2 linked regions of the Struthio camelus genome follow. The protein of the gene in region 1 purifies or fractionates together with the protein of each later gene. This does not show direct contact. Links are inferred from orthologs where the notes say so. Each region holds a gene or a part of one and is shown in the gene's direction. Other genes may lie near its edges. The genes, in order: NIP7 and NOP2.

Region 1 (3,870 bases):
CTCGGAGACCTTCTGCAGCACCCAGCCGTGGAATATGGCCCCCTCGTTGAGGACCTGTTCGTCAGGGGGCAGGAGCGGCTCCTCGTCGGAGAAGATGGCGCGATACTGCGTGATGATGTCGAAGAGGTGGACGCGGCAGGCCTCGATGGTCTTGGTGATGTGGAAATAGGGATCGTCGTCTGGAATGGAGGCCTGGATGGAGCGCAGCCAGGCGTCCCGCGCCTGCAGGAACTTGATGCGCAGCTCGGCCTCCGTGAAGACGTCCATGCGCCGCAGGTAGCCGATGACCCGCAGGCAGGCTGGCAGCTGGATGTTGGTGCGTAGCTGCTGGATGAGCTGGTTCAGCATCAGCTGGGTGGACTGGCGGACTTCATCCACGATACCCTGGGGACAGGGAGACAGCCTCAGCCACGGGCGCCACGAAGCAGCTGCGGGGCCGGGGCGGAGCAGGGCGCACCTGGATCACGGGGATGGCGCTGTGCTTCCTCTCCAGCCGGCGCACATAGGCGGCGAGCTCCAGCGCCTCCTCGTAGTAGCCATTGCGGACGCAGGTGTCCATGAGCTGCGGGATCTCCAGGATCTCCAGGATCTCCGTGTGCCGGTTCAGCGTCAGGCTGTTCATGCGCCGGCTGCAGGCGATCTCCTCGGCATCTCGCACGAAGTTCCTGTGCGATCGGGACGGGATCAGCGCGAGGGCCCGCTCCCCGCGCCAGCCCCAGGCCGCGGGCAGGCAGCTCCCTCACCGGGGCCCCCAGGGACCCTCCCACCCCCGCCGGCCTCTCCCCGTCCCTGGCTCCAGCGTTGCCCAGGGCCTCTTCCCAGCCCCAGTCCCTGCTCCCCCCCCCGCCCTCATTGGAGCCGCTGCCCCAGGGAGCCCCCCACCCCCGTTCCTGGGTCTTCAGCCCCCCCGCTCCCAGGGCCGCTCCCCACCTCTGCCCCGGGCTCCCGCCGTGGCCGGGGCATCTGCCGGGACGCTGCCCGCCCCCAGCCTCAGCCTGTCCCCCGGCCCCCGCGCACCCTTCGGGGGCCCGGCCGCCCCCCGCCCCCCGGGCTCCCCCGGCCCGGCCCGCACCGGCAGGCCTCCTGGAGGGCGGGCAGGCGGGCCAGCAGGCTGCCGAGGCGGCGCTCGATGCCGCCGAAGCCGCGGCCGGCGCGGCCGGTGCACTCGGCGGAGCGGATGAAGGCCCGGTAGTGCTCGAAGGCCAGGCGCCGCGTCTGCGCCCCGACCCGCGCCCGCTCCGCCGCCAGCCGCGCCGGCTCCCGGCCCAGCGCCGCCAGCCCCAGCGCCGCCAGCTCCGCCAGGTAGGCGGACAGCTCGGCGCCGCCGGGCCCGGCCGCCGCCGCGCCGCCCAGCAGCCAGGCCAGCAGGCTGGCCTCCTCCGCCGCCGCCGCCGCCGCCGCCATGCCGCCGCTCTGCCCGCCGCGCCGCGCCTCGCTGGCCCGCGCCGACGCCGCTCTGCCCGCCGCGCCGCCCCTCGCTGACGCCGCTCTGCCCGCCGCGCCGCCCCTCGCTGGCCCGCGCCGACGCCGCTCTGCCCGCCGCGCCGCCCCTCGCTGGCCCGCGCCGACGCCGCTCTGCCCGCCGCGCCGCCCCCTCGCTGGCCCGCACTTCCGCTTCCGCAGCCTGCGTTTCCGCTTCCGGGCGCGGCCCCGCGTGCGCACGGGGCGATGCGGCCGCTGACGGAGGCGGAGACGCGCGCGGTCTTCGAGAAGCTCGGGAGATAGTGAGGGAGCGACAGAGGGACCGGGAGACAGTGAGGGAGCGGGGGGACGGGAGGGGGACCGGGAGATAGGGCGGGACGGGGAGAGGGACTGGAACCGGGAGACAGCGAGGGAGCGGGGGGACAGGGGAATGGGAGATAATGAGGGAGCAGGAGCGGACGCAGGGGCGGGTTGAGTGGAGATAGCGGCGACTGCGGGATAGGGGGGAACTGAGGGATGGGGAGGGGTCCAGGACCTGGGGACACCGGGACCAGCAGGGGCCTGGGACGGGGTCAGCAGTGCTGAGGAGACAAGGAGATCCTGAGGGCACGGGGGGAGTGGGGACTGAGGATGCACTCGGCGGCGGAGGGGGGGACCGAGGGGCAGCAGAGGGGTTGGGGGGGCGCGTGTGTCCGAGGGCCTCGGGTGGGACGGGGGCCGCTGTGGGGCAGGGCCGGCTGGGCAGCAGGCGGCCGGGCACTCACAGCCTCTCCCCGCAGCATTGGCGAGAACATCCAGCTGCTGGTGGACCGGCCCGATGGCACCTACTGCTTCCGCCTGCACCGGGACCGCGTCTACTACGTGAGGTGAGCGGGGCCATGGCGCTGGGGGAGCGCTGGGCCAGGCTGGAAAGCGGTTGCAGGCACGTGTGGCCCTCCCGGCTCGGGAGCTGCTGCAGCCCTGCCCCCTCTCTCCTCAGTGAGAAGCTGCTGAAGGTGGCCACAAGCATCCCCCGGGAGAGCCTGGTCGCGCTGGGCACCTGCTTCGGCAAGTTCACCAAAACGCAGAAGTTCCGGCTCAACGTCACGGCCCTGGACTTCCTCGCACCCTACGCCAAGGTGGGACGTGGCCCCCGCAGCCCAGCCCCATGCGCCCCGGCCCCCGCAGCCCCTCACCTCTCTGTGCCTCTCTCACAGTACAAGGTCTGGGTGAAGCCTGGCTCGGAGCAGTCCTTTCTCTATGGCAACCACGTGCTGAAGTCCGGCCTGGGCCGCATCACGGAGAACACGGCCCAGTACCAGGGCGTGGTGGTGTACTCCATGGCCGATGTCCCGCTGGTGAGTGGCTGGGCCTGGCTCCAGCAGGCTCCGGTGGGGGGGGACACAGCTGCTGGGGTGAGAAACTCCCCGTCCTTCTCACCTCTCCTTCATCCGCAGGGATTTGGGGTAGCTGCAAAGTCCACCCAGGACTGCCGGAAGGTGGACCCCATGGCGATCGTGGTGTTTCACCAGGCTGACGTTGGAGAGTACGTGCGGAGCGAGGACACGCTGACTTAAGGGAGTTGTGCGCTCCGAAGATGTGAGTGATTCTGGGCAGAACGGACCTTGTCCCGTGCCATCTGCGTGCTGCCGGCACACGGGGCAGCAGGGAGCCTGCCCCACGCGGGGCGGTAGGAGGCAGCAGCGCTGCCCCACACCTGCTGGGCCCCGGGGGGTCCTGCCGCTGTGAACAGGAGATGGCGCTCCCCAGAGTGGCAGGTTTGGCGTTGCAATTACATAAAGCCGTTTCCCCCTCTCGTTAACTGTCTTTTGTCTTGTGCAGCGCTTCAGGGTGTCCGTCCTCATCCCCCATGCTGAGGGTTGATTTATGTTTTGAGTTTTCCTTGCTCAGGTTGGTGTCAGATGGTAACACACGCAGAGTGTGAATCCACAGGGATCTGCGTCAAATCAAGCAGCCAGGGCTCGTGGGGAGGCAGCCTGGCAAAGCTGACAGCTGTGCTTCCCTGGGAGGGAGGAAGCAGGCAGGCAGCTACCTGCAGGGCAGGTCTTGCTTCGCTTCGGCTTGCAGGGGATGGACTGCAGCCAGCGCTCTCTGATTGTGCCAGGGGTTTGTTTATTGTGTTTCTAAGAGGAAAGGCATGTTAATACTCTGTCTTTAAAGATTGGTAGAGATATAACATTGTTCCCAACAAACACAAAGTTAAGGCAATTACTTCAAGCTTTTTTCCTTCAAAGTGATATCAGTAGAGGCAGGGCTAGAGCTGAGTAGGAAGGAGCCCAGGGAATTCTGTGCATCCAGCTGCACTGCCTCCTCCCTGAGACAGAACCGGGTCCTCCCCTCCCCGTCCTGCGGCAGCAGGGGGACTGGTGTGAAGATGCAGAGGAGCAATTCAGTTCCTGTTGGCTGCAGGCAGAGGCAGGCTGGGTGCTGGTGCTGCCAGCTGTGTGG
Region 2 (3,899 bases), on another chromosome or scaffold:
CCCACCCCTTCACACTCTACCCCTCTGCCTGACATTCCTGACTGGGTGCTGTTTCCCTCCATGGAAGCTGCTCTACAGGTCTCTGGGAGAAGGAACTCCTTCTGCAGCCAGCTGTTGGAGGAAAGAGTGTGCTTAGGAGAGAGGGGGATGTATGATGGACTCTGTATATAGTGACTGGAGGCCACAGCGCCCTGTCTGTTACATGGAGAACCTGGCTGTGTTGCTCGCTGCCTCGGCCTGGAATTCCAGTTTTTGTTTTTAATTTTATTTTGAGTTTGTTTACTGAGATGAGTGCACAGGTGAGACCAAGCAAAAGCCAGGACAGAGACAAAGCTACCTCCATCAAAATCCTTTTTAATACAAAAACTGACTGGACTTGTCCACTAATAAGCAGCTTGAAGGAAGGAGAGAAAAAAAAAAAAAAGGAAAATCTTGATAGGACTGAAAAATAAAGTTTCCTTGTATTTTATTTTATTGCCTCTAATTTAGCTTTTCTGGAGAATGCTAGATGACCAAGAGTGACCAGCTGGCTCACTCCCTCTCCCTGTATTATTATCAGCAAACTACTGCTGCTCTTGTCCTGTTGCCCTGTAAAAAGCAGGGCTTCTAGTATGCTACACCTTTCTTGCATTGGCACTGACCCCTCTTGCTGTTGCCTGACGCTTTAGTCATTTCCTAGAATTTCACTTGGGTCTTTGTCATTACAACCTAAAGCCTACGCCTGGTGAAGCTTGAACCGTCTACCGTTCCCCTGACGCTTGCAGCCCGCATACCTCTGCCGCTCCCGGCCGCGGGCGGCGCCTGCGCCCGGCCGAGCCCGGGCCACGCCACGCGCGGGGGCGGGGCCGGGGGCCGCTGCCGTCACAGGCTGGGCCGGCGCTCAGCCACTCGGCGAGCGGCGGAAGCGGTGACCAACCAATGAGCTGGGCTGCCCGCCCCGGGGCAGGGGGCGGAGCCGCGGCTCGGCGCGTGCGCGGCCGGGGCCGGGTGGGGGCAGGGCGGCACGTGCGGCGGCGGCGGGGGAGCGCGGAGCCGGCTGCGCCACCCGCGGCCGCGCCGCCATGGGGCGGAAGCTGGACCCCGCGCGGAAGGAGAAGCGCGGCCCTGGGCGCAAGGCCCGCAAGCAGCGCGGGGCCGAGGTGGAGCTGGCCCGCTTCCTGCCGCCAGGTGAGCCCGGCCCGGCCTGGGGGCGCCCGGGCAGCGCCGTCCCGGGGCCGCCGACCTAACGGCGCTTCTCCCTCCCGCAGAGGCAGAGCCCGGCCGGAGGAAGCTGTCCAGCCACGGGCGCAGGAGGTGAGGGCGGCGGCGGGGGAGGGCGCGGGGCTGGCTCGGGGCCGGGCGCCGCTGACGGCCGCTTCCCCTCCCGCTGCAGGGCTGCGAAGAGGCGGCGGGCGGCGGGCGAGGAGCGGCGCGGGGGGCGGGAGCCCGGAGGTGAGTGCGGGGCCCCGGCGGGCTGCCCCGCTTCAAGCCAGTCTTTCCACTGAGTTCCACCACCTGCTCTCCGATGCAGCGGGGAGCGCCTTTAGCAAAGGAGAAATCGGTAAAAAGCCCCCCTCTTCTGTGCGTTAGCCTCTTTCTGCCTTTTATTCCGCTCGCGTCGTGGGTATCGTAAGCACCTTGGGGCGCTGAGGCTTTTAAGCGTGCTGCGTTAAATCACGTGCGTCCGAGTAAGCTCTCACGGCGGGAAGAAGGGATAAACACAGATTTGAGAAATAGGGCTGCTGCGGTATGTCAGGACAGGCACTAAAAAGACTTAGTAGCTGTATTTTTCTTTGGCAATTCTAGTCGTTTCTTTTTCGGGTTTGGTTGGGGGGGGATCTTTGTGCTTGAGCAAACCAGTATGGGGAGCAGTCTCTTCTCTTAGACAAGCAGCTCCGGGCTAGAGTGAAGGAGGCTGCTTTGCATAACAAGTCAAAAACTGGGAGAGCTGTCATATAAAATACTGCCTAACTTAACTGCTTATTCTGCCTGCAGTTAAGGAGCAGGTATCCCCATCGAAGGAGAAACACCCCAAAAAGGTAGTAGCGCAACCCCATCGTTGCCAGTCTGGCTTCAGCGATGGCAATTCAAAATGGCTGACTCCAGCCAAAGCCAAGAAAATCCAGTCTGAAGACAACAACGTGGAGTCATCCAGTGATGATGAGGTGGAAGAGGGCACCTGGGAGATGGAGGAGGATGGGAGCAGCGAGGAGATGGTCGATGATTATGGTGCCTCTTCCTCTGAGGAAGAAGAGGTATGAGCTTTTTGCCCTCGATTTTGCAGAAGAAACTTGGCTTTGCTGGCTGTAAGGACCCAGCAGCCCTGGTGGGGAAAGGGTAACTTTACTGGAAGGCTGGATGGCGAGGTGGAGAACAGCTTTATCCTTCTTCCCTTCACAAGAAGGGAATTTTAAGTTAGCAACTGGTCTCAGCAGAACACTCAATGCCTTCATCTGTTGTTCTTTTTAAACAGAGCAGGTATATTTCATAGAGATGGCACAGATTAAAGGGGTAGTTGATACTAGCTGATACTGTTTCATTAATATTTTGTCTCTCTGTTTAGTTGCTGCCCATTGAAAAAGCCGCCCTGAAGCAGAAATCTGATAGGTGAGGATTTGAGAGCGTCAGGGGTCAGCACAGTCTTTCCTGGTTGGAACACGAGGAGCCTGGGTTGTTCGTTCTTCTGTCATCCAAGAGATGATAGTTGTAAAGTGTCTGAGGAGTCCTGCTATTGTGTAAAAAAACTATATTTTTTTTATACCTAGGGGAGGCCTTAGTGAAGATGACAGTGAAGAGGAAGAGGTGGCAGAAGAGGCAGGCAGGCAGAAGAAGGAGCAGAAGGAAGAAGAGAGTGCGGATCTGCAGCTCAATCTGGATGTAGATGAGCAGTTCAAATTGCCAACTGATGAACAGATTGAGAGAGAGAATATCCTTTTCATCTGTGGCCTCTGTAAACCACGTAGCTGTGCCACTACAGAGCTTGAGTGCAACTGTAGAGCTTCATTTACATTTTATTATGAGCGTTGGTGCCTGACAAGCCGTTTTTAGTTGAATTGCCCTAACAGATAGTGGTAGCTATGTGGTTCTACACCTCTGTACAGCACGGTCAGGGAACCTGTTATTCCCTGTATGGAGCCTGGACCTTGCCCTCAATCTTTTTTTCCAGTCCTAAATGCATGTGGGTGTCTATCGCATAGTTAATTCCCTTCTACCTGGATTCCTGGGTATGTGTTTGTCTAACTCATTCTTAGAGCCTCTGATGACAGCAATTCCAGCATCCAAAGCGCGTGTTCTTGGGCTTAAGTGATCTTTTTCACCTCTTTCTTCTCTACTCTCTCTAATTGCTTCTGGAGAACTTTTAGTCTCCTTTGCGTTACAGGAAATGTTTTCAGTATTGAAAAGCCTTTTCCACGTGTCTTCTTCCCACCCCTTTTCTGCTTTTCTAGACTAACCAAACCGAATTTTTGCAAATACCTTATTTTCCCTGCCTTGTGCGCTTCCTTATCTGGTTGCTATCCTTTGAATCTCCCTTCTGCCTAACTCCAGTGAAAGCGTAGCAAACGATACATGGTAGATGTGCACACTCCAGTAAGGCCTTTCTGGTGCAGGTGCTGTATGCAGTGACTCAGGAGTTTTGCATGACTGGCTGTGCTTTTGAAGGGCCTGCGTGTGAATTCCTTGGTCGTTTACAATTCTTAATGGTCCTTCTACCTGCTGAGCCGCCTGACCTGCACATCATTCACCAGCGCATCAAGAGCAACATGGAGGTGCTGCAGGACTTTGGGGTGAAGCGAGAGGAAGGACGCACGCGACAGGAGTACCTTGCATTGCTGCGCCGGGACATGGCTGCTTACTATTCCTACAGTGACTTCTTGCTCAAGAAGCTCATGGACATCTTCCCACTTCCTGAGGTAGGATGC

The links.
Region 2: the proteins of NIP7 (region 1) and NOP2 purify together in Homo sapiens (affinity purification with mass spectrometry; 3 studies listed by BioGRID and IntAct, with this or other methods). This does not show direct contact. The link is inferred for Struthio camelus from reciprocal best matches to the Homo sapiens genes NIP7 and NOP2.

Annotation. Positions count from the first base shown.
Region 1 is NC_090951.1:1,622,449-1,626,318, reverse strand, and holds NIP7 (60S ribosome subunit biogenesis protein NIP7 homolog), read left to right. Parts: upstream 1-1,597; 5' UTR 1,598-1,668; coding exon 1,669-1,724; intron 1,725-2,201; coding exon 2,202-2,288; intron 2,289-2,401; coding exon 2,402-2,540; intron 2,541-2,618; coding exon 2,619-2,759; intron 2,760-2,858; coding exon 2,859-2,978; 3' UTR 2,979-3,228; downstream 3,229-3,870.
Region 2 is NC_090942.1:90,922,843-90,926,741, forward strand, and holds the start of NOP2 (28S rRNA (cytosine(4447)-C(5))-methyltransferase), read left to right. Parts: upstream 1-975; 5' UTR 976-1,061; coding exon 1,062-1,167; intron 1,168-1,247; coding exon 1,248-1,293; intron 1,294-1,372; coding exon 1,373-1,431; intron 1,432-1,974; coding exon 1,975-2,234; intron 2,235-2,542; coding exon 2,543-2,586; intron 2,587-2,744; coding exon 2,745-2,905; intron 2,906-3,690; coding exon 3,691-3,890; intron 3,891-3,899. UniProt on the Homo sapiens protein: S-adenosyl-L-methionine-dependent methyltransferase that specifically methylates the C(5) position of cytosine 4447 in 28S rRNA. Required for efficient rRNA processing and 60S ribosomal subunit biogenesis.